Drosophila melanogaster: one gene and its partners. The protein of the gene in region 4 interacts with the protein of the main gene of each other region in a pairwise test. Each region holds a gene or a part of one and is shown on either strand. Other genes may lie near its edges. The genes, in order: CG30060, CG1622, Pez and CG13843.

Region 1 (4,100 bases), on a different chromosome or scaffold from region 4:
TTCTCTTACTGTTTACATAACTATTTAATAACAAATTACTCACGGCTTTCCAGTTTCCCTGAGCACTCCGTTAAACTCGTATAAATGCCGGTTGGGCAGCTCGCACTCGATCCTGCCCTCCAATCGTTGCAGATCCTTCGTCTCCAGCAGTTCAGCGGTGGCTGGGAGGGCCTGTCGAATCTTCAGGTTGGTCTCACCATCCAAATTGGCCGTCTCTATGAAGCACATGGCCTGCGGTTCACTGTGGAAGCATCAGATTCGTATAAAGTATCAAAACAAATTGGGGTTAACTTGGGTGCGCACCTGGACGACAGCAGAATCAGATCGGCGGGGAAGAAGGTATTGATTCCCACTTTGATGATATCGCCCACCGTCAACTCCGACCAGCGAACTGTGCACCACGAGCCACTATCCAGGCGCTCTATCGATCGGTGATTGATCTCATTATCCGCCCGATGTCGTTTCTGCAAATCATGGAAAGATATCAACAACTCAACTGGCTATATGTTACTCTTAGTACTTACAATGTCCTCGATTATCTCCTTAATGGCGCTCACCGAAAGGATGAACATCAGTGGCACTAGCGTGGTGTAACGACCCGTCGGCGACACCTCCGGGATTTGTTGCAGTATGGCAATTAGCAGGAAAAAGCAGTTGGAGTAACGCCGGAATTGCTCGAACAGGAACGCGGGCAAAAAGCTGATGAAACTGCATGCAAATGGGACAGATTGTTGTTTACTTTGTGTCTAATCCATTCATTTAGGTCATGATAGTTATCAGGCGCTAAATGGCTCGTACTCACTCACCTATATTTTGCCGTCGTTATGCGATTATTACCGTACTTAGTGGGCTGTGGCCCATTTAGGTTTATGATACGCCTCTCCCCATCATCTGCATCGTACCCAGCGGACGAGGTGAAGTCCTCGTCATCTGAAAATATGTATGAAAACGTTGATTAATAGGTGATATCAAAACGTGAGAAATCGGAAAATTACACGGCATTTATTACCGTGGACAGCGATGTTTCAATTAAGTTCTCATTTTTTGCTGATTAGTAATCGGCTATTATCTTTTGAATGCTACTATATCAATGATTTGATATTATGGCTATATATACCAAGGACATACAAGTATGAAATTATAGTCGTCCCAAGAACTGTATTATAAGAACAAGACTAATTTAAAACTTCGAGCTTTTATTAATTTTCATTTCCATTTGAAGGTTCGAATTCATGTTCCGAGACGAGGTATGTTGGTGTCCATCGCCATAACCATTCCACCAGATAGAAATTGGCAGCCATCGGATTGCCAAGCGCATACTTCCTTGCAAAATTATGGCAATTGAAGGTGCCACGACCCTTTTCCTCGCCCTCGGGAACGAAAGTCTCGTCGAAATCGAGCTCCAGATACTGCTTGAAGGCCAGGAAGACGATTCGATGGATGTTACTGCCGTGGATGGTCCGCCGGTTGTCGTAGGCCACAAGCGTCTGACCCATGGCGACATCGCAGCCCGGAATATTACCGACCATCCAAATGAGCCACTCCGTATTATTGTCCGGCGGCACGTCCAAGTCGACCATCATCAGCGTGTGATAGTGTTCCGGATCGGCCTTAAACCGAATGATCGGTTGCTTCAGCGTCTCATTAATCACTACCATAATGCCCGGTTTGATGTCGATATCGCAGGGATATAGCACACTGATCACCTTCGTTGGCTTGCAGGCAAAGAGGCGGGGTATCACGTGGTGCCTCTTGAGTTCCGTGACCAGTTTCTCAACTGGACAAAGGATCGGGCAGCTCACCAGCATGGTGGTGGAATTTCAAAATTTTGGTTGACAAAACAGGAAAGAGGAGCTAGGCTTGCTATAATTGGCATATAAGCTTTTTTTATTGTTTATGGAACAACAAGAACCGCAGATGTCTGTTGTTCTAGATCAATTAAAACTGATCAATCGATCAATCGAATAAATAAATTCATTGTTTGGTTTCTATAGTAGTTACTCTAGATCGCATTTCAGTTGTACTATTTTATAGACTGTTGGTCTTCAAAGAATCCCATATTTGTGTACACAATTTCCCCATCATTTGAAAGATTTGAATATTTTTCTAGTCACTTACGACTCCAACGAATGCGCATCGCCTTGTAGACATTACGAAAGTCCATTTTGGCCCGGCGAAAAAGCGCGGGACAACGGAAGCGTCCTGCCCGATCCCTAGATGGCGCCGCTACCACCGACTCCACCGTCTCCTCCTCCGCTTCCTCTTCCTCGGGCCCGGGTAGCTCGTCGGATCCAGAATCGCAATCGCCCACGGGCACGAATGCAATGCACTCGCCAGCGGTCTCCTCCTGATTCCGCTTGGGAAACCCCAGGATGGAGGGCAGTTGGTCACTGGTGACAGCCTCGGCAAGGATAATCAGCCACAAGTGGGCGTGGCGATTGGCAAATGGTATAAGAGTAGTCCTGTGGGATGGCGCCTGCGCCTCCTCTTTTTCAATCAATGCGTATAAGAAAACACAATTTTCATCCCGTACGGAGGATTCTGTGCCATGCACATTTGCCTATACACACGGCCAATGAAGGGATTCCTACGGAGCACCATTTGACCACCTAATCAAAGTGGTTCACCAATGTTCCTTGCGTGGCCAACTGGTCGTATAACTTTTTCACATCCATCACCTGGCAACGTGCCTGCACTTTTCCGTTTCAGGTATCGATTTGTCACAATTAAGTTGAATGCGTTAAGCACGTGATTTTCCGGCCAACAGATTTAAACGATTTTGATATATTCAGTAAGTTAATTTGATTGATAATAGCTTAGCTGACACTGATTGACGAACGATTATCTAAAGTTACTTAAAATTAGCAAATATTCTGCGACACACTTTCACCACCACACACTTTTCACTATGTGCGCTCTCCTGAGCTCCGATACTACGACTGAAATGAAATTTCCACGAGCTCGAAGGACCCAGAAAGGACAACAGGGATGGGTTTCCCGATGTGCGGGGTGTGGGGTCATCCCCCCCCAGGTTGGAAACCCCTTGAGTCCAACCCACCACCCCTCAAAAGCTGCGTAGTGCATTCTCCAAAAGGAGCTTATGAAGCTTGCGATTTATCAGTAAACCCAAAACACTGCGTACCTACCACTGGGAAGCTTGGGAGATCGGGTTGGGGGGTGTTTGGAATGCAGGAGCAAAAGCGAAAGCGAAACGTGCTAGCAAAACAAAAGGTGAGAAACAAGGGAGAGCTACGTACGAAAAGAGAGCGCGAAGAGAACGCGACTGCGCCTTAAGTCAAATGTTTTGAAATGACTTGGAATTTGAAGGTCGACCAGAGCCGACCAACGAAGTACCCTAACTATCATATATCGTATTGCAAGCGAGTTAATGAATGCTAGGAAGCATATTTTCCCAACTTTATATTGAGTTACTCATATTTCCGAATAACTATGGCTAGAAAATCTGTGGACCGTAAGTTTCACTTTCTAAAATAAATATTACATTTTATGGCAAGATCATAATAACTAACCACATGGAATTTTGATAAATAATTTGTAGCGATTTAAAAAATTTCTAAAAATTTCAAGTGCGGTTCAAAAAAGAAATTTTAAAGAAATTCATTTGTTAGTTGGGATATGAAAGCTATATATACGCACATATATATTTTATATATATACTTTAACAAGTATAATGGCTTAGTTAAAAAACATATGCACCTTTTCTTTTTTTCCGGCCTGGGCGTGTTCTTTTAATATAATTTTTCACTGACTGCATACTGCCCATCACGGACGATTCGTCCAGCCTTCGATGTGGATTACTGCCGTCTGTTTCCGTGTTCCCGTCACCGCTTCTGGATGGCGCAGCCCGATCATTGTCCGAGGGAGGTAAGTCCGCTCCACCGGACGGAGCCATCGCTGGACCCGTGGTGGCTGTCCGCCGGAGCAACTGGCTCCTCAAGCGGCGAACACCAGACTTTATGCTTGGCCACAGACTGCGCACATTGAAGGTGGCTTGGCTGGGGGGCGGATTGTCCAGGAACTGCAGCTGTCGTCCTTGACTGTGTCCGTTGTGTCCATTGCGTCCGTTGCGTCCGTTCTGG
Region 2 (6,400 bases), on a different chromosome or scaffold from region 4:
GGTGCTGCTGGCCCAGCCATAAACTTTGCACATTTGCTTTCGGGCACTAATCATGTTTTATGGCCATAAGCACACACACACACACACACGCACGCACTCGCACAAACATACACACAAGCACACACACACCTAAACAGTACCCCGTTTTCCCAAAATGGTCAAAACGGGCCATTTGACGCGCGCATTCGCACACGCGTGAATTGTGTGCCGTTTACTGTTGTTCGCTCCATTCACTTCGGTTTGTTGTTTGTGTTCTGCAATTTTTGTTGTTGTTGTTGTTATTGTTGTTGTATTGCCTGACATTGATATGATATGATCGTAGTGTCTGTGCATGTCTGTGTGCGCTAGCAGAGGCTTTTTGGCTTGGATTACGGCTCGGATTTGGTGGCTTAAGTGAACTCTCTCATTGGTGCTGGCACATGCTAATTACATTTGATAAGCCGCTTTCTGGCTGCCCGGCGATTTTCTTTTGACGGCGCTTTTCTTCTAACGGTCGGCGCGAGAGGCGACAACTCGACGCAGGCGTTGCACACTAACTGAAATTCGAAATTCGAAATTCGGCCAGGAGGCTTGGCACCGCCTCACCTGTCTCAGCTGTCGCACCTGACCGATCCGCGCTGCCAATAATCTGCGCAGCACTGGCGATTATAATTCCATGCTCGACTCAAAGCTCGAAAAATGCCCCGCCGTGCGAACTGCCACAATCCTCTACCATCGAGAATGATTACCCTCTTTTATGACAGAATACTAAGTTTAAAATGGCGCCCGAACAGGGATCTCTCCACTTGTCTGTAATCTTTCTGAACACATCACAAGTGATTTGAGTATTGTTCAATCCTATTGGAATTAGCAATCCTCTTAGTTTATCTGTAACAAGACATGGAAGTTATACTCTTAAATTTGAATACCGAAGTCTGTTGGATTGAAGTTTCCCTGGTAATATTGGTTTTGCACCTGCTTATAAATTGCGCAGCACTGATGATTATATTTCAACAAAAAGCTCTCACAAGCACAACTTCAATATCGGGCCAAGCATTTCAAAAAGAAACACTGCGAAACATTAGGAAGTCTTTTTAAAAACCTAGATTCCCTAAAAAGTATGCAGCAATCAAATCCAATAGTTTTCAATCCCATTCAGTATATATATCACTAATTAGAATCACTGATGGATGTGATAGTCCAAGAACTCATCCACTTTGTTCTCTCAGGTTAAAAGTAAAAACCCATACAATTTTTGGATCTATCTCGAAACTATTTACAGTAAAGCTTCTACTACCGAATATATCAATAAATATCAATAAACGTTTTAAACAAATAAGTTTTGACTTTATTTTCATAAACACAACTTGAAAACTATTTTATCAGCGTAAGTGTAGTCACAAATTACAAAATATAGCCTTGCTGCTGTGTCCGCATGTGATTGTGTCTAGATTTAGTGTTAGTTATGGAACATTTCGGGGTTTCGGAGAGTGTTTAACCTGAGTAAGAAGCGCAACTGACGTTCGTGGCTTCCAAAGTGTAGATAGAGTTTGACAAATTAAAAAAAAATGTGTAGTAGTACTATGGTGAAACAAAGTTAGTTAGTAACAGAACAACTTAAGGAGGAGGAGGCTAGTTTTGGTGGGTGGAATCGGTCTTCACCGATGACGTCGCTCACGCTCTTCATAGTGTTCGTTGTGCCGGCTCTTGCTGCTCCGCTCGTAGCCACCACCGTCCCGCTTGCGCTCATGGCGCTCGGAGCGGTGGCGACTCCGGCTGCGGCTTCTGCTGCGGCTACGCGAGCTTTGTCTATGGTTGTGCTTCTTCTTGTGCTTGCTGCGGTGGCGGTCGTAATCCTTATTCTTATCCCGATCGCGATCCCTCTCCCTTTCGCGCTCGCCGTAAGGCATCTGTGGTGGCAGCGGCGCCGGTGGGTAGTCCTCATAGCCACCGCGACCACGGCCGTAGGACGAGCCAGACGCGGCAGCATAGTAGTCACGCTCGTCATAATCGTTGCGGTAGTTATTCGGTTGTGGGTAGGCGTTGGAACGGGAGCCAGCTTGTCCACCGCCACGTCCGCCGCTTCCACGCTCTACTCCTCCCTCCGGATAGTCCTGGTAGTCCGCATCCTGGCCAGCGGCTCCAGGACCACCACCAGTGCCCGCCGTTGACCGACCCGTGCTCAACTGATGGACGGTCACCCCCTGCTCCCTACAGTATTGCTCGATCCTCTTCTCGATCTGCTTTTGAATCGGCACGGGGATGCGCGGAAAGAGCGTGGAGAACCAGTCCAGCTTGGTCATAAACTGATAAACCATCTGTCCGATGGTTAAGACCTGCAAATAGCTTAGGTTAGTTCCAAGTTCTATCAACCGAGTGTTGGTTTTCGTGTGATTGGTGGCTCATACAGTTGACTCACCTGGCCGCCGCCCGCTTTCACGTCGATCTCCTCCTCGTCCTGCAAATAGTCCTCATACCAGTCGTAAAGGTCACCCGGCGGCTGCGTGTATCGCAAGTACATAAAGCCTGGGGCACGGAATAAAAATGAGAGACTCGGGATTAAAACATTTTCAAGGAGTTGAACTTGTGGTGGTTGGCCAAAGGGGTATAATGAGTTTCATGGTAGAGTGGCTCGATTTGATTGACGGGAAAGTATTACTTAGTTGGAAGGAAGCCTATTAATTTTTGAATGGAATATATGTTTTCAATTAGTGGGAAAGGCCACTCTGACAAAACATGGAATTTTCTTTTGGACAAATTTAAAAATCATGAATGTATTATATAGCATTTAATCGGCAAAATCATGCAATAGGTAACTGAAAATCCCTAAAAAATAGTTCTTAATAGGCAAATTACCGTAGACTTTGACTTTTTCCTTTGATTTTAGTTAGGAATTTCTGAAAAAGCAATGGTTGAATGTCAAGATGGTGATTTAAGTCGAATAAATTTGAAAAGATTTGTGCATGCTTAATGAACTGCTCCGGGAATTGCATAAACATGAATACTTGATAAAATAAAATATTTGCAAGTAGGGTAAAGATTACCTTCGCAGGCAGATGCAAGGAGATGCTAGGTCCTCTTCTCGCAAAAGGCACAACTTGAAATCGAAAAGGAAACGTGATTGTTGTTCAATCCATAGAATACCATCCGCCAAGATTCTCTATTATAGTTTGCAACCGTCCAAATCGACCCACCCTGCTTCATGTATTTTATTTTCTTTTTTCTTATTTTTTTTTTTCAAATTTGGGGTGATGTATGGTGTGGTTTGGTTTCGTTTGGTGAGCTGGGGGAGCAGGAGCAAGCGACGGCATATGTGACGGCTGAACTCATGCGACTTACCAACACCTACCTAGTGCCCGGATGTAGGCCGAGTCTGTATGATTGAGCAGTCCGTTGATCTGCTTCCGGGTCAGCCGCAGCGTGTATAGCTTGTAGAGCAGGCAATATGCCGTTGACACAATGCCGCCGGCGCCAACGCCTCGCACCTAGAAAGGAATAGGATAACGAAAATGAGTGCATACATTCATGCATTGCATAAAGCATCGCCAACGATTAGCGCTACATTTCATAAACCACTCACACCGCCGCACATGCCCGTTTGTCCGGACGTTTTGCGGGATCCACGCTCCCAGGGCTCCATATGCTTCACCTGGTAGTAGATCTCGTCGACCACTTCATGGTACGTTTTCAGTTTAAACAAATGGACTGTTTGGGGTACACAAAAAAAAAGGCGGGTTAGTAAGTGTGACGATTGGCAATAGCACGCGTGTGGATTTGGTTGCACCTTTGAAGTAGCTGGAGCTCTGGATGTTGGCCAGGATCAGGGCATTCAGGTTCATCGAGGATTCGTTGCCCCAAAAGGGCAGCGTGTTGTGCTGCTTGCCGGCCTTCTTGCCACCGCCGGCCGAAGATGACGCCGAATAATCTGCACGAGACAAGACGCCGCCATCAATGAAACGCTCGCGGGGATTGGATGCTATGTTCTTACTCACCTTCGTCCATGCCTACTGCTCTTTTACTATTGGGCGCATTAATTTTACGGCTACCGAAGGATTGTGTGCGCGGGAAAACGCGAAAAATGCAAGCACAATTTGCAATTTACATGCGAGAAAATGCCCAAATTGGCGATGTGTATGCGTTAGCAGTCGTTATCGGTGTGTTATCGATAACGCTGGAGCGGGCAATTCTTAAGGTCACTGCTTTGGTCGTGACTGTTCACCACAAGTCGTGATTTTCAATAATTTGTAATAATTTATTTAATATTTGCTTATGAAACCTTATTTGTTAGCGTAATATATAATATATAATATATTATTATATCACAGTAAGCGCAATTTTCTTTTCCTTCTAATGTTTTTGGGTCAATTCTTATGAAAATGCACAGAAAATTCGCATTTCGTTCAGTTATATGCTTGTCCTTTTAATTATTAATTTATTTGATTTGTAATACTACATTTAGAAAACAAAAAGTGTAATTTTCCGTTACTAAATCGTTTCAAAAACTTGTAAATATTTCCAGTGAATGGCAGAGTGACCAGGGCGTCGAAAGAATTGCCTTTACGGGCATTCGCAGCGAGGTCACACTGTGCCCAACTGAATCCAATCCGAATCCCCATCTTCGCATCCGCATCTGCATCTGCATTCCGCCGCCGAGGACGAGCACCCAGTGGCCAATCCGCCGACCATGTCGCCCAAGTACACACATGCGATTGTGGCCAGGTGAGTGGAGCCCAAATTCGTCTCAATTCGACGGATTGCCGCATCCGGAGGAGGGAGTGCCCCAGTGGCGCGGAATTAGGTCACCCAACCAAACGTTCGTGGGTACACATGCCAGTGGGTGGGGCTGCACCTTCCAAGCCGCCCAGTTCCTGGATCCTGTCTTTAACACTATCTAGTTTGGATCTATCTGATTATTCAAATCTTTCTATAGCTACATATCTAAAATAGAACTTATAAGCCTGAGGATACCAATTTTGAAGTTATACGTTTAAAAATACAGTTTCCTGTTTACCAAGCATTAATTTATCTATTTGACACATCTTCTACAATAGTTTCTCCCACAATCATTAAACAAAATGCTTAAGAATAGGAATTAATAACTTTCTTTCTTATAAGGAGTAGTTAGCACACAAGTACATTACCCACTCGTTTATCCACTCAGACGTTCTCGTATTCGCGCCTCAATTAGCAGATCCATTGTTAACCGCTTTAAATCCGTAGAATCTCGGATGCCCTGCTGGAGAACGGAAAGTTCGACGTACAGCTGGCCAAGCAGCAGCACGAGCAGTACTGCACCCTCCTGAGGACCATTGGTCTCGATGTGATCGAGCTGCCGCCGGATGACCAGCTGCCCGAGGGCGTATTTGTCGAGAACAGTGCGGTGATCTGTAACGGAGTGGCCCTGATCGGAAGATCGGAGCATCCCAAGCGGCAACTCGAGGCCGAGAGCATGGCCATTATTCTCAAAAAGGAGCTGGACATTCCGGTCATCGAGATCGAGGATCCGAACGCTCAGCTCGATGGTGGCGATGTGCTTTTCACGGGTATATATTTCATTTAAAGAGATACCATGATATCATAATTAATTCATTGTGTTAATTGCATTAGGTCGCGAATTCTTCGTTGGCATCTCCAGTTTCACCAATGAGGAGGGAGCCCGGGCGGTGGCCATGGCCTATCCCGAATATCCAGTGACGCCGATTCGGGTATTGTTATAATATAACTATTGGAAGCTTTATAGATTATCCACTAATTCAGTAAACATCTGTGAAGAGATCTTTGAGATTGTCTATTAAAGCTTCCCTTTCTTTGTACACCGCCCATTAATATGTGCATATATTACAAATCAGGTCAACGGCACCAAGAGGCTGAAGTACTATGTGACCATGGCGGGGCCGGAAGTGCTGTGTGTGAGCAGTAGCCCCACCTGCCAGGAGATCGTCAAGCGGATGGAGCGCGAGGCCATCTGCACCTACCAGAAGTTGACTCTGCCCGAGGAGAGTGCGGCCAATATGCTGTACATCAATGGAACGATCGTGCACAGATCCCCAACGGAAATTCCAGAAGCCTACAAGGTCAGCATCGATCGTTCTAATTAGACGCCATGCTAATTGTTTTTTTTTTTCTTTCGGGCAGACTTTAAAAGAGAAAATCGACATTCCAACACGCAACATAAATATTAGTGAATTTAGCCAATATTCCAGTGGTCTGACCTCGTCGTGTTTGTTGCTGCGACGCTGGAAGTCCATACGGAGCTTGTGAATCTCTCTGGGAGCCGAGAGGTTCAACCGACCGGAGTGAGAAGCATTGCCATGAGAAACATGCACAACAGGCCCAAGGAGCAGGATACTGCATGCATTCCCTGCTCTGTCCAGGCATCAGCAAAATTGTATTATCTTATTATAGTTTATACACACCATCT
Region 3 (9,292 bases), on a different chromosome or scaffold from region 4:
ACTCTGTATAAATAAAAATCGCGTATTTTGCTTAATGATTTTCTGTATTTATATATCTGTATGTTGTGCAGCTAAATGATTAGATTTTTAGGAATCTTTGAAAAACGACGAGAGACTTTTTTCAATGTCATGTTGAGCGTTTATTTTTGCAACTTGTCTGCAAAGGTGCACAAAAATAAAATTATTTAATAATGAATATTACCTTGAAAAAGTGATCTTTTAATTGTATCTTTGATTTTCAAAGATCCTGGGGACGTCTTCTTATAAATGTTCAATATTCTAGTGGGGAATGAAAAAAGTGGGCAGTTTAAAAAGATTTTTAAACTTTTCATCAAATTGAGAAGACGTCTAAAAAATGAATGTCTGGCTTTTATTACCGAAAAACAAAATTTGTCCTAAATCTGAAGACTATAAATTCATAATATGTCTTCCTTTTTGCCACGTATTGTATGAAAATGTCTTCAGATCGCCAAACTAACATGAAGTACATTTAATTCATATTTTAAGACCTATGTGACAATTATACATGTATTAACTATGTTTCGGACCATCAAACCAAATTAACAAAAATAAAATTAATTTTTTTCAAACCTTTTCTTTGGGGAAGCGCGCTGGGAATAATTTTTTAAGAAAAAACACGTTGCACGTCGCATAAGAGTTAAATGTGCTTATTGCTTTTTATCAATTTGTTATTGTTTTTATTTCGAAATTTATTAAAATACACATGTATAAATAGTTCGGCTTTAAACCTAAGCCCAATTGTTGTGGCTGTGGTTAGTTAACTGGCATTTTTACTGGCTTGCCAAAACAACTACCTATCCGCTACTTTTATATTTATGTATGTATCTATAAAGTGGCCATTGTGGGGGGTTCTGTTTTTATAACAAATCTAGAGCTTAAAAACTAGTTGGTATTAAAATTTAACGATTATAGGGACAACAGCTGCCAGTAGAAATATAAAATTGCTGAACGGAGTTGTACTGATTTTTTAAAACGAGAACTAAAGGAAATTTGTTCGATATAAACAATTTAAGCTTAAACAAAGAAAAATACTTCTTGCCAAGTTTTCCATATTCTTTAGAACCTCAGATGAGCCTCGTGCGCTTCAAATAGGTAATAAGCAGATTGTATATGAACTTGTATTGCGCCAGGGATGGTATAATGCTATCCCGTTGATGCCTTAGCTGCCCGATAACTCGAGGTATATCCAGGTCCTGCGATCGTAAGAAAATAATGCTTATGGAAATGGAATAATAAATTCCCTTTCTCCACTCACCTCATTGTGGTCCAACGTGTACAGTAAAAGATCGGCGGTCAGTGTCACTCCCGAACGACCGCCTCCCTCCAGACAGTGAAGAAGAACTGGTGGGTTTGTGTTATGTCCCGGCGGAACTTCTTGCGTAGATGCCAATCGCACGGAATTCAGCTCCTCGAGGAAATCGAGGAAGTGATTCACATCGCGTGGACAATTCTGCTCCGCCCAGTCAGCGTACTGCAAATACCAAACGGATCGGTATCGACGCGATGGTACGTGGTAAAGGCGCAGCTTGATGGTGGTGCATCGATCGGTGGTTTGTGAGAATTCCTGATACACTTGGAACTAGAAAGTAGAACCTTTGAGGAACAGAACTAAAAGCTTATGCGGTTCACTTACCTGTCCAAACTCGAGACGCTGATGACTGTTACGAGGAATATAGCTCATATCCTCGGTTAGCTGGACCACCAAATACACATCCGCCTCCCATACACACTGCCAGAAGATGCGCATGGTAAGCGGTTCTTGTGGCGACTGGGCCACAATATAGAACCGCTGCTTTGTGCCCACAGTGGCCTGAAAAAGATGTTCCAACAATGAAATACACAATTTGCTTTTCATCTTGAGTGTCAACTGAACGTACAGATATGGAGGAAGCATTAACGTAACCATGCCGATTGTCTCGGCATGGAGTCAGTCGCACTCTGTTGTCGTCATAGGGTAAAAAGTTGGGGTCGTGGTTCTTTGGCTCGTTCTCCTCCAGCAGGGCGCATTCGTATAGGGCATGCTCCCGTCGTTTCGGTATGCGTTCGAACTCCATGAATAGCTGCGAGTCACTTAGCTTTTGGTCTAGGATTTGGCACTGGAAGTTGACAAGCGCTTTAATCGAAATGGATTCCAAATCGTAATAACTTTTAACCTACCAGTTTGTCCTTGGAATATCGTCCAGAAATGGGCTGCGGCTTGTTGACGCCTGTGGACCAACGATTTGGCAGGTTGAGATCGTCTTGGGCTAGCTTTAGCTTTGCCGCCAGCTTGGAGTGCTGACCTGCCGTTGTGGCCTTTTCCCTGCCCAGTGTGGCGGATTTCTGTTTGTCGGGTGTTTTGCTGCGTGACAAAAAGTTCCATCGCTTCTTGCGTTTTAAGTCTTTGCTGGCCGCCGATGAGGACGTGGTGTCCAGCGTTGAGTTGAACATGGAGGATGTGGAAGCTGATGTGTTGGCAGAAAGATTCATGGCACTGAACTGCTGTTGCAGCGTGTCTCCGGCCGGCGTGATCATGTCGACCGTCGACGACTTGTTTAGGCTTGCTGTTGAGCGATGTTGTCGTGGCGGAGGTGTGGCTCCCATATCTGGCGCTGCACTGGCGGCTCGATTGGTCCGCTTAGGAGCCTGCGGTTCCAGGAACAGCAGCTCCGTGCTTGCTGCTCGGTCTGCGCCGTACTTCTTTATGTTTCCATCGTCGGGTGGAGAATTGACAGTTACAGTAACTACGTTGTTGGAGCTGGCGTTTCGAGCAGCTGGAACAGGGACAACGCCTGGGGCGGACTGTATGGAGGAAGCTCTTTGACGCATAGCCTCAGTATTTGCGGCACCACTGCTGCCACCAGAGGCTCTCTGTGGCAGGGGTACATTCTCGTAGATGGGCTCGATGGAACCGTTCACCAAGCTCCTCTGTAGTGGCGCCGGTGTCGCCGATTTATGGGACGAAGCAACCACCGGCGGTGGAAGCGGGCTGCTCGCTGGCGGGGGCACAGAACTACGATATCCACTCGGCGGCAGGGTAGGTGAACTGCAAGATCGTAGCGAAAAGTATTGTTATATTGTTTATTTTACGACTTCATTACACTTACCTCTGCGTTACCACAGATCCGGCAGCTGCAGCTGCTGCCTGACTCATCGCTGACTGTCGCAGCTGGGACATTATAGACGGCTGCTCCTCGATCATGTTGAGGTTCTCGAAGGTGCCGTGCGGGGGCAGATAGGGCTGCGAGTGCCCCATGTGGCTCACGTACTGGTACTGGTGCAACATGGTGGCTCCGGAAGATGTTGGAATATTTCCGGCATGTCCGCCTGCGGGCAGAGCAACGTACTGACCGCCATTGAAGAGCGTGCGGTTAGAGACTAGATCCGGCGAGGAGCCGCTTACGTAGTTGCGGAAACCCTGAAGGGGACGGGGAGTGGCCACGGCCAGATCGGGCGTGGAGGAGGAACTCAGCCGATTGACATACGGCGGTGGGGCCTTGTGACGCATCATATGCATGCGCTGCGAGAGCTCTAGGTATGCCTGGGCGGGGCTCATGGGCTGTGGATGTGACTGCGGTTGATGCTGTGCCTGGTACAGGTTGATGTGGTGGTGTAGGGCAGCCGCCGGCTGGGCCACGTCCGGATAACGATGCGCAGTCATATGACCATACAGTAAGTTCTCGTTGTGCATGCCTGGATTGTGTACATCAGGCTGGGAGCCCGCATAGTAGGCATTTCCGGGCGCGGCCATTGCCAGTGCCACATTGTGGAATTCCGCCGATGGTGTGCGGTACTTTAGTTGGACCGCCGTCTCATAGTCTGGTGCCGGGCGGTATGTGGGCAGCATGGCTTTGAGGCGCTCCCGCTCATCGTTGTTATTGTTGTTGTTGCTGCCTCCGTGGTGCAACATGCCACTGCTGCTGTGCAGGTTGTTGTTGCTCAAATCCAGGCAGGAGCTGCTTTGTCCCAACATCTGGTTAGCGCTGGTAGCCAGCGAAATGTTGGAGGAAATCATCTGCTGCTGCTGAATCTGTTGCTGCTGCTGCATATGTTGCTGCTGCTGATGATGCTGTTGCAGTTGCTCGGCGGCCGCCGCTTCATTGTAATCGTAGTCGACATAACCAACGCTGTCAACGCCCAACGGACCACTCTCCGCATCCGCACCACTTCCCAGGCTCGAGGGCGTGGCCGTGTCAATATAGCGCTTGAAAAACTTATGCTGGCTAATGGTGAGCTTCCAGAAGTAACGTGCCGTGTCCGCCTCGCTGAATATAAAGCTTCCCACGATGCTGCCGCCACCATCCAGCTTGTTCTGCTCGATCTTAATCGTTCGCTTGTCGATGGTCACCGTGTGGAACTCCTTCCATGGAAAATACTGCCGACCGTTGTCCGCGTTCACCACCATCCCGTTGATGGCCAGGCCCAGCAACAAATCATTGCCGAGCGTGTCCTTGGCGGCGAAACGTTCCTCCCCATACCCCTCCAGCTGCTGGCAGCACTGTATGTACATCTCCTCCGCCTGGCTCTGACTCAGATGTGCAATGCCCGCCTGCTGCTGCAGGACCTCCACGATCAGTCCCTCCAGCATGCTGTCATCGTTGGCCAGGCCTTGCATGTTGCGCGGCAGGACCAGCGACTTCTTCAGATAGTCCTTGCTCTGTTTGTCGCCCTGGTAGCTATCGTACTCCGCCTGGCGGCAGTAGAGCGCCAGCAGTATGGCCGTGCGGATGTCACAGGCGATGCGGCCCTCGTAGATGTCGCTCTTCAGCTGCAGAAAGTAGTAAAAGCGCGTGGCTTCGTCGCTCAAGTGGCGCACGCCAGTGGTCACGTAGTGGCGAACGCGCAAGTAGATCTTGGGGCCCGCCGCATACTTCTCCAGCTGCCGACTGAGCGAGCGCTCCAGGTCGATCCATTTGAACTCGTCCTCCTTGTCCTTGCCCTTGACCAGGTAGCGCAGTCCAAAGAACTCCGGCTGCTGGATTAGCAAACGTTGGCAAACGTTGTCCAGGCACTCCTGTCCCTTGCTCTCCGAGCTGATCGTGCAGTCCACTGTGCTGGATGTGTCTGCAATGTAGGTAAGAGTGAAAACGTGCTTCAAACATCGGCCTAAGTCGCTCCAAGCACTCTAAATTCGCCGCACAACAACAATTTGGCCCTGCCCGTCGCACGCGCAAATATGCAAATAAAGTTTATAATCTCTTTCGAGACCTTATACGTTTTATGGACGGAAATTGTGGCGGCGCCGCTCAATTGGCTTCTCTCATCTGTCGTATTTCCTAACTAACGAAACGTAGGCCTAATGTCTAAAACCTTTCTGATGGTTGGAGAAATTTGGGTGGTTTTAATTGAGTCAAGGTCTTCAGTTCGCTTGCCAAATAAGTACATTCGGTTAAGTGTATAAGAACTACAAAACATGCTTTTGTTTAGCCCAAAATCGAGAGTAAATAATATACAAAATGTGAAGTACGCAAAGTTAGGAAGTTCTCATAGGCAGTCTGTTAGTTTTAGAATTAACGGTCGCTGTTATGTGTCCTGTGCGCCTCTGTTAACTCAGCGACTGTTAACTAGAATGCAACAAGTGAAGGCATTTTTGTGGTCTGTGCCTTGGAAGGCGAATTCCAGCTAAACTGGAAGTGGGCGCCGCATGACAATCGTTGTGCACATTCCCAATTAAATAATCCCAATTGCAATGGCAGACGGCAGCTGTTAAGTTGTGGCTTTGTCACCGATTTCTTGTTGTTTCTATTGTCTCGTCTCCACTGTTGCTATTGCTGTTGTTGTTGTTGTCGTTGCTGTCGCTGTTGTTGTTGTGGGGGGCGTAGCGCCTCTAGGAATGTGGGGCTTACTCACCCAGCAGGTGATGCACTGATATAACAAACAAACTCTTGGACGTAACATTGTACTGGCGACACTTTTTCAAGAATTTCAATGGCATTTTTCGACTATTTTGCTCCACCGGGGCTCCGCTGGGCTCACAAAAGTGGCTAAAACGGCAGCACCATCGACACCACAGGTTTTTTTTGGGGGAGTAAATTGCTCAATTGGAATTAGCCGATTTGAATCAGCTGATTAGACACGCAAACCAGAGCACTGCGCGTATTGGTTAAGTAAAGTTAAAGATAGTAATTGGGCAGTTAACGACAATAAATAAAGGAATTCACGAGAAATAAAACGAAGAGACCGAAGTGCTGATATCGATACGCAGGTGCTGACTGAGTATCTCGGTGGCTGGCATCGAATGGATCGATAGGCGGCATTGACTATCGGTATGTCTTTGCGCAGTGGGCTGCAAGAAAATAGGTTTAGTTCTGTTAAAGAAAACAAGTGCAACCAAGAAATATGTAACTGAAACAAAACAGTTTATATTTTAAAATATATAACAATGCAGTCAGCAGTGATTAAATAAAATTCCTAAAGATATTAAAACCACTGATACACACGAATACTTCGTTGTACACAGCAAGAGAATAACGGTTTCTAGCGAACAGTAAAATATCAAACTTAACAGAGCTACTGGACACATAGGTGGCGTGCTGGCATAGCTCTGTTATCCGTTCCAACTCCAGTGCTGGAAAGTGCGCGCAACTGAGAAATCCACACCGCGATTCGACGACGGTCCCTCTGGAATTCAGTAATTTAGTACTGCTGCTGCCGTGGTAGTCGTCACTTCCCCTTTGCACTTGCCGCCCTCCGTCAACGTTTTATCGAATAAAGCGAATTAAAATTAAGATCGTGGCTTCGCCCCGCTGCGTAACTGAATAAAGCGAATTTAAATCAAGGGCTTTGACGTCTGCCAAGCTGCTGAGAGGGGCTGCAACAGGAAGAGCACCAGAGACGGGGCACAAATCCACATCCACATCCACCGATCGTCGTCTATCTACAGAGGATTAGGAGCAGCGCAGTCGGAGATCGCGATCGGTGAGTTTCGAGGAGCCGAATCACAAGGCCACGCACTGTCGAAATCCAAAAAGCAAAACCCGATTACCAAAATCGAAATCCAGTCCATAATTAATTTGCTGCTTAGATATTTCGAGCGCTGCATTGGCGGTCAAGGTTGCAGCGACGAGGACAGATGATGGAGCAACCGTATCGCTCACTCGCTCGCTCACACACACACACACACACAGAAGAGCCCTGCGAGCGAGTTTAAAGTTCAGTACCTGTTGCTGCGCTCGCCCAGTCTCCCTCTCCCTCTCGCTCTCGCACAGCCTCGCCGCCGCCCGTGCGATAGTGCGCTCTCGCTCACTCCGTCCGCGCTGCGTGTAATTTAATTTAATTCACTTCTGTTATTAATTTGCGCTATTTGCACGCTGTATCGCCGCCTTTCACGTCTCAAACCGAGTCGTAGGCCGAATTGCATAACCAAAAACGCGACTCGGGTCGCCAATCGGCCATCAAGTTACTTTTCTGCTCGTGGCTCTCCGCTGAGAACAGCTGTCGACTGTCTGCTTCCCGTACAGTAAGCACTCGATATGAGCGACGAAGCTATGTTCTTAATTTCCGTTAACCTGCCTTTCCTTATTCAAAAAATCAACATTTGAAAATCCTAAGTACACCAACTTTACACATTTTCCAATTGGAGTTGGCGTTGCATTTAGTTTCCAATTTATTAAAAACAATTTGTGAAAAAAGCCAACCGATATATTGTTTTATGCTAATTAAACACACACACATTAATGACGATGTAAACAAAATCCTAGTATCAAAATTTACTACAACGAAATTGAAAGTGGCTTAGTTCGAAAAGCCGAAGTGTGTATACTCTTGCTGCCTTGTATAACTGAACTCTGTAAAATCGTTCCATTTTGAAAGAACTAAGAACTTAGTAGGAGATACTGCAAGTCTAGGTATGTACGTACATACATATTTACATATATATAAATCAGTTAAAATATAAAAATTGTACATTGTTGTACACTTCCTAAGAACTTTTATGGATAAAAATTAGTTCTCTGAAATTCAAGTTCAAAGACAAACTAAATAAATATATTATATTATATGTTATGACACCCCATTATAGGGTTACCTACCTATTAAAGCTAGACTATTAGTTCTTCCAATTAAAGAACCATTAAAAGGGCAGGTTCCGTAATGGGATTACATTTAATGGACTTCGGTTAAAGTGAGCGCGGAGTTACATTTCATCCTTTCCAGACAGCCAAACTAGGTTTATGATAACGAAAGCCACTTGGGCGCGAAATAAATATGCATAGTCATGCTTACTTTATAATTCTCCGTCGATTCGGACGAGTAATTCGAGAGTGTCATCGTGTTTAGGGAATTTTAAAATCACATATGCCAAGCGAGATTCTAAGCGTTATCACGCACATTACAAGTGTGTAGGGTGATACTAGATGGGCGTTTGTTGTGACTAGATCGTAAACTTTGTTTGAATAGATGGCTAAGCAGAAATAACCAAGATCATTCATCTCATTCATTTAGATTAACTACTTAGTCGTAAACTAGAAAAAGAAGCACTCAAATAAAGAGTGTTTTTGGAGGAAACATATACACATTTGAACGAGTTAGGATCTATTGTTTCGTAAAAAAAACTAAAGAAACCGAATTTATGTTAACATTTTTGGAACATTTGTTGGTTTTCGTGATATATATGTGTGCTTCCTAACACAATTTAATCATTGCGCTGTCGTCATTCCGTCAATCGAACAGCACACATGGGTGACCTATAAAAAGACGCCAATTTTATGTTCACCTCCACTTGTTGTCAGTGTTGGTTGTTATCGGGAGCGTCGAACACATACCTTCCTCGAAATCGGACGAGAATGACGATACTGGCGTCGATTTGCATATGCCTCGCATGTGTTTAATATTTATTTTCTGCCTTTTGCTGACCACAGCAACAAGAACTATTACGCGACTCTATACAAAGTTCACGCACGTAGCGGCGCATTAGCAACATTAAAGCATTAAGTCAAACCCGAATTCAAGGTGAAAATTCAGTAGAGCTCCTTAAGCCCCCACAAAACAAAAGATAACACCTGGGATCAGCTCAAACTTCCAACTGCTTAAGTTGAGAGTTCTAGTAAAAATGCTTTCGGCACTAGTTAAAACTCAAAGCAGTCGGGGCGAATTTCATTGAACTCCAAGTGTGCATTTCAAAACCCAAACTCTAGCTTAAGTAAACCCTCTCAATTTGCATTTCCTATGCTTTTTTTTATAAATTCGGGTAAAGAAACGTATACAAACCGTATATGTACATTAAAATCTTTAAGTACTTCATAAACTGAATCCTAATGAAAGGGAATGTATTTTGTTTGGGATGATTTTAATC
Region 4 (4,795 bases):
TTATTTCGCTCTTGATTTCGATCATTTCAAAACTCGCATAACCAACACACACCTACATCACAATCCCCGCCTCTTGGCTATCGGTAAGTGCCATGCCCACATTGAACCTATCAGCAACTTCGACTTATGCGTGTAACTATCTTTTCTCTCCCCACCAGTGAAGCAGGCGATTGAACGAATTTGAATAGAATACTCCAAAATGCCAAGCTGCCTGCGACGGGAACATAAACAGATCAGATCCACACAGAACCACTGAACCACTCACCCACTCGCATACTCAGCACCACTCGCGCCACGCCACCACCCACCCACTTACACTCAAGCGTTGCGGCTGTGCCGTGTCTGCCACAGAAATTCGGAATTCGTGCACTTTCAGTCAGTTAAAACCCCATCAGGGGTTGCGAGAAAGAGATCATTTGAGACAATTAGACTACCAATGCGATAATTAACGAGGGAGAATTTTACGTTTAAAGGTCGTTCATCAGAAGACATCGGCATAATCTCGGCAACCAGAGGATTATCTCGAATTCGTGCAGTTGATTTTATATTTACCATGCTACTTATCCAGAATGAGGGTATTCGAGATCGGTTTCACCTGATTTAAAGCTACACAGTCAGATCGATTCGAATTTGAATTATCGTTCATATTTGCTCCGCCAAAGATTCTGCTGGACGGCTGTTTAGGAACGAGAATGAAAACTGCTTATACACATAGACTTATTATTACAAGAGTTGATAAACAATACTTACATCATTACCTATGCTATCATTATAAATGATAAAAATAAATTATTAATTAATGAACAATATCTCTACACAACCACAAGATGGAGAACATCGGCAGTAACAATAACGAAATGAGAATTGAGAAGAGGACAAGCGCATTAGCATTAAGCTTAAGCAATTACTACCATACCGTGTACAACTTGTTTTTGGTCTTTTGCGATACATTATCACATTTAACTGTGTAGGAACAGTTACTCCAATATTATGTACGGATTAATATATTTATTTAAACAACTATCGGTTGATTACGCGACATGTCCATGTAGCTAGAATATGAAATTAAATATCCATTACGGGGTAAAGAGAGATGGAGGAAAAAATAAAATTAAATGCATCATATATTTTTGAATATATTATGATTATGGTATTGTGTAATTATGTAAATGCAGACTATATAACATTGTTTATAATAATTTTTAACAATTCTACTGAAACGGCAATAAATTCGAAAATACAAACTAACTAAAAGTGAAAGCAACTTGCCTGCTGCAAACCAAGCGCCTAAATGTATGCATATTGTATATTTATTTTAACTGGCTTAAGAGGGCATCACTTAGTTTCTAAAGCAATACCCTTTCGATAACAATTCATTTAAGACAACTTGCCAACTTGTGGCGAGAAGGGAAACAAGAAGACGAACGTGGAGACGGTGATTTTTATGTGAACATTTATTACTAACTGATAAGCTTTGATTAAACTTAGGAAAGCCGTTATACTATGCATATACACATATATATAAATATATATATGAACTATATATAGTATATATGAATGCTCGTGTGAGCAACCAAACAATTACGATATGAATCATTAAATACTTCCGAAAGCATTAAATCCCTGCAGTTTGTCTAATCCTCCGCCTTGAACTTAAACGAGGTATCCGTCTCCATCAGCATATTTTCCAAACGTAATTCCAACTGGCGTCGCTTCAGATCCACCTTTACCACCGATGCCACAATGCGATCGCCAACGCTCAGCTGCGAATTATTCATGTTACTGTTGTGTATGAGGCCATTGCGCTCCACTCCAACGTCCACGAAGGCGCCAAACTGGGTTACGTTGGTCACGGCACCTGTGTGTCGGAATAGTTTCAATAAGTACATATATGAAATGACTATCATAGTCTCCACTTGCCAGTGACCACCTCGCCCATGCTAAGATCATCCAGCCTAGTTAGACCTTGTTTGAACAGTGGCCTCTTGTCCAGATCTGCTCGATAATCCTGAAGTAATTCGCGCTGCAGGGCAACCAACAGGAACTCCAACTGAAAGGAAATTTATTTTAAATTATTTGAACATTGCAATAGGCCTGTTTAGTATAGATTGAGTGGCACTTACTCGCTCCATGGGCAGCTTGTGCTGCTTGGCAATGCGATCGAGATTAGGCTGGGATGAGGCAAACTGCTTGATGCTAGCTATAAAGGCAGCCTTGCCCACATCCGACAGCTTTAAGTCACATTCTCCGACAATACTGAAAGCACAAAAAGTATTTGGTTTTAGAGTTAAGTTTTCAAATTTTCCATTATAATGATTGCCAAGCTAAAGCAGGAATATGCGGAGCGCTGGCATTATCCTCCAATTGTGCCGCCAGCCAAGCTTCGATATGTTGCATGTGGAAAGGTAGCATTCTACGGCCACAACGATAAGCCGAAATACAAGCCCTGCTGGCAGCATCCGCTCAATGTGCAGGATCAAACCCGCTTTGGAGTTTGCTGGGAGTATCCGCCGGAGCGGTACAAGCGTCGTCCGCTTCCGCCACCGTGCCGGGGATCGACCATTCCCATCCATTTGCTGAAGCCAACCTTCAAGCATTGTGAGAATATCTACTCCCGCTACGATTTTAAGCTTGAGCAGTGTGTGCACGAGCAAACTCTAGTAGTTGACCAGAAAATGAAGGCCCTGAAGAATGAGCTGGAGCAGGCCAAACCATTTCAGATTGAGAGGGTTAAGGAGATGCGTTACCATGGAGTGCGTTATCGCATTTTAGCCAGCTCGACCGGATGCACTAAGACCTATCCCGAGTACATAAGCCGGATGACCGAAGAGCGGGCCCTTTGCGAGTTTCAGAGAGCCTACAATATCGTCAATCAGTCAAAGTAAGTCTATTAAAAATACACAGCCACTGCTAATTTAAAACTTTTTAGCACCGATTTGAGCAATTTATACCTGGACATGAGTGAGTCGAAAAAGGAGCTAGATCAACGCGTAGCCAGGTTGGACCGGTCTTTAGGAAGTACATTCTTGAAAGAGCTAGATTCGGTGCTGCAAATAATCGAGGACTTAAACACGTATTTCTTTGGCGTGATCGTGAAGCTAAAGACGTGGGCGGAGCTGATGGACCCTATGAAAGAGCACTCTATAGAGGACTATCTGGGGCTTTTGAGTCAGGAGACGGACTTCCGGACTTTTATGAGTGCCGGCATGGAGAACTGCACCTGCAAGCGTTGCGACAAGAAGGATCCCTTGAAGCCGTACCTTCCGTGCTGGTGTCAAATGGAATCTAGCGAGGATGTTACAAATCTTAAGAATTTTGACGACGATTGTCCAAAGAACATAGCTGGCATCACGCAACACGAAAGTGACATTGTGACACCTAGTGACACCTCCTTGTTAGTGAGGGCAGCGGATGAAAAGGCCAGGCTTGCGATGAATCAGGCGGAATAAAGTCTCATTATTATTGGTTAATGAAGTCAATTGAATATTGGACTTACCTTTCCACAACGTTGTAGCTCTCAGGATGCACCCAAGTGCAATCTAATGGATTCTGTAGTTGTCCTCCAACGCTTCGGGGTTCGATGCGCACAAAACCGGCGCACTGGACAAACGATTTCTCACCTATGCTTCGCACGGAGAGCAGATCCTTCCGTGTCTTGAATGGTCCTTTCTGCGTACGATGCTCAATGATCTTTTCCGCTTTCTTTTCCGACAGACCAGCAATGTGCCTATATGGTGGAGAATATTAAAAATATATAACTTATTTGACCCTTAATCACACATACTTGAGTACACTCAGACTGGCTGTGTTGAGATCAACGCCAACATAACTGACACACTCGGACACAACGTCATTCAGCGATGCCGTCAAAATCTTCTCGGGAACATCGTGCTGGTACATACCAACCCCCAGGTGACGGGGCTCTATTTTAACATATTCACTCAATGGATCATTCAAACGACGCGCTATGGACACTATACAAAATATGTTTGTTTGTGTTGCTTTTAATTTGATCTTCGTCCAAACCTGCGCTCCTTTCGTTTGTATCCATTTTGGGAAACTCCTTGGCGGCCACATTGCTGCAGGAGTAAATAGATGCTCCATTCTCGTTAACGATGCTGTAGCGAATGATCCTGCTGTCCAGAACGCCGGCATGAAACATACCAGTTAGCCAGTGCTCAGTTTCGCGACAGGCAGTACCATTGCCCAGGCCAATAATTTTACAGCTTTTGGGAAAGGCAAAAAAGACATATTAATAACTATCTTTGCAAATCGAATTCAAAATATATATATACTTATGATCTGAAAGAAGCTGAACCAATTTCTGTTCGGCAGCCCGCTTGTTTGACATGGCACCATGAGGGTAAATAACACCAGTGTACAGCACATCAGCAGTCTCGGATATAAGTGCCAGCTTGCATCCATTTATAAAACCCGGATCTATGCCCAAAATGCGTTCGCCTTTCAAGGGGGATATCAACAGTAGTTGCTTCAGGTTCTTGGCAAACACATCGATGGCTGCCTTTGTGCCTTTTTCTTTTAAAGCCGCTCGAATCTGCCTGCACATCAAGGGCTGCACTGTAATAAGTAATTAATTAACATATCATATGGGGGTCTTAATATATTCCATATCTTACACTTCTTCGCGTAGCACTCCTCTAAGGATTTTGTGAACACCTCCCTTCTTAATGGATATTGCAAGCCTTGGTTCATGTACTGATCGGTTATATAGCGCATCAGATCTCTTTTAAGGTAATCGTTCGTTTCTATCTTGACAGAAAGCCATTTGTGCTTC

What was found.
Region 1: the proteins of CG13843 (region 4) and CG30060 interact in a two-hybrid assay, tested with the Drosophila melanogaster proteins (one large-scale study listed by BioGRID).
Region 2: the proteins of CG13843 (region 4) and CG1622 interact in a two-hybrid assay, tested with the Drosophila melanogaster proteins (one large-scale study listed by BioGRID).
Region 3: the proteins of CG13843 (region 4) and Pez interact in a two-hybrid assay, tested with the Drosophila melanogaster proteins (one large-scale study listed by BioGRID).

The regions. Positions count from the first base shown.
Region 1 is NT_033778.4:13,421,796-13,425,895, forward strand, and holds CG30060 (uncharacterized protein), read right to left. Parts: upstream 1,853-4,100; 5' UTR 1,809-1,852; coding exon 1,200-1,808; 3' UTR 1,183-1,199; downstream 1-1,182. Other genes in the region: ATP8A (ATPase 8A), read right to left, coding at 44-241, 304-464, 525-708, 807-930.
Region 2 is NC_004354.4:13,294,811-13,301,210, reverse strand, and holds CG1622 (uncharacterized protein), read right to left. Parts: upstream 4,130-6,400; 5' UTR 3,982-4,129; coding exon 3,972-3,981; intron 3,905-3,971; coding exon 3,764-3,904; intron 3,685-3,763; coding exon 3,560-3,684; intron 3,465-3,559; coding exon 3,329-3,464; coding exon of another isoform or gene 3,315-3,328; exon of another isoform or gene 3,024-3,314; intron 2,506-3,023; coding exon 2,399-2,505; coding exon of another isoform or gene 2,388-2,398; intron 2,316-2,387; coding exon 1,638-2,315; 3' UTR 1,301-1,637; downstream 1-1,300. Other genes in the region: CG1764 (uncharacterized protein), read left to right, coding at 4,664-4,698, 5,200-5,522, 5,587-5,684, 5,829-6,053, 6,115-6,240.
Region 3 is NT_033779.5:6,332,208-6,341,499, forward strand, and holds Pez (Pez), read right to left. Parts: upstream 6,465-9,292; 5' UTR 6,441-6,464; intron 6,287-6,440; 5' UTR 5,936-6,286; coding exon 5,851-5,935; intron 5,065-5,850; coding exon 3,108-5,064; intron 3,047-3,107; coding exon 2,179-3,046; intron 2,118-2,178; coding exon 1,899-2,117; intron 1,832-1,898; coding exon 1,655-1,831; intron 1,601-1,654; coding exon 1,277-1,600; intron 1,215-1,276; coding exon 1,086-1,214; 3' UTR 674-1,085; downstream 1-673.
Region 4 is NT_033777.3:22,607,226-22,612,020, forward strand, and holds CG13843 (uncharacterized protein), read left to right. Parts: upstream 1-2,259; 5' UTR 2,260-2,312; coding exon 2,313-2,881; intron 2,882-2,929; coding exon 2,930-3,449; 3' UTR 3,450-3,490; downstream 3,491-4,795. Other genes in the region: CG31156 (uncharacterized protein), read right to left, coding at 1,635-1,858, 1,921-2,050, 2,124-2,256, 3,497-3,727, 3,785-3,974, 4,027-4,226, 4,296-4,578, 4,638-4,795.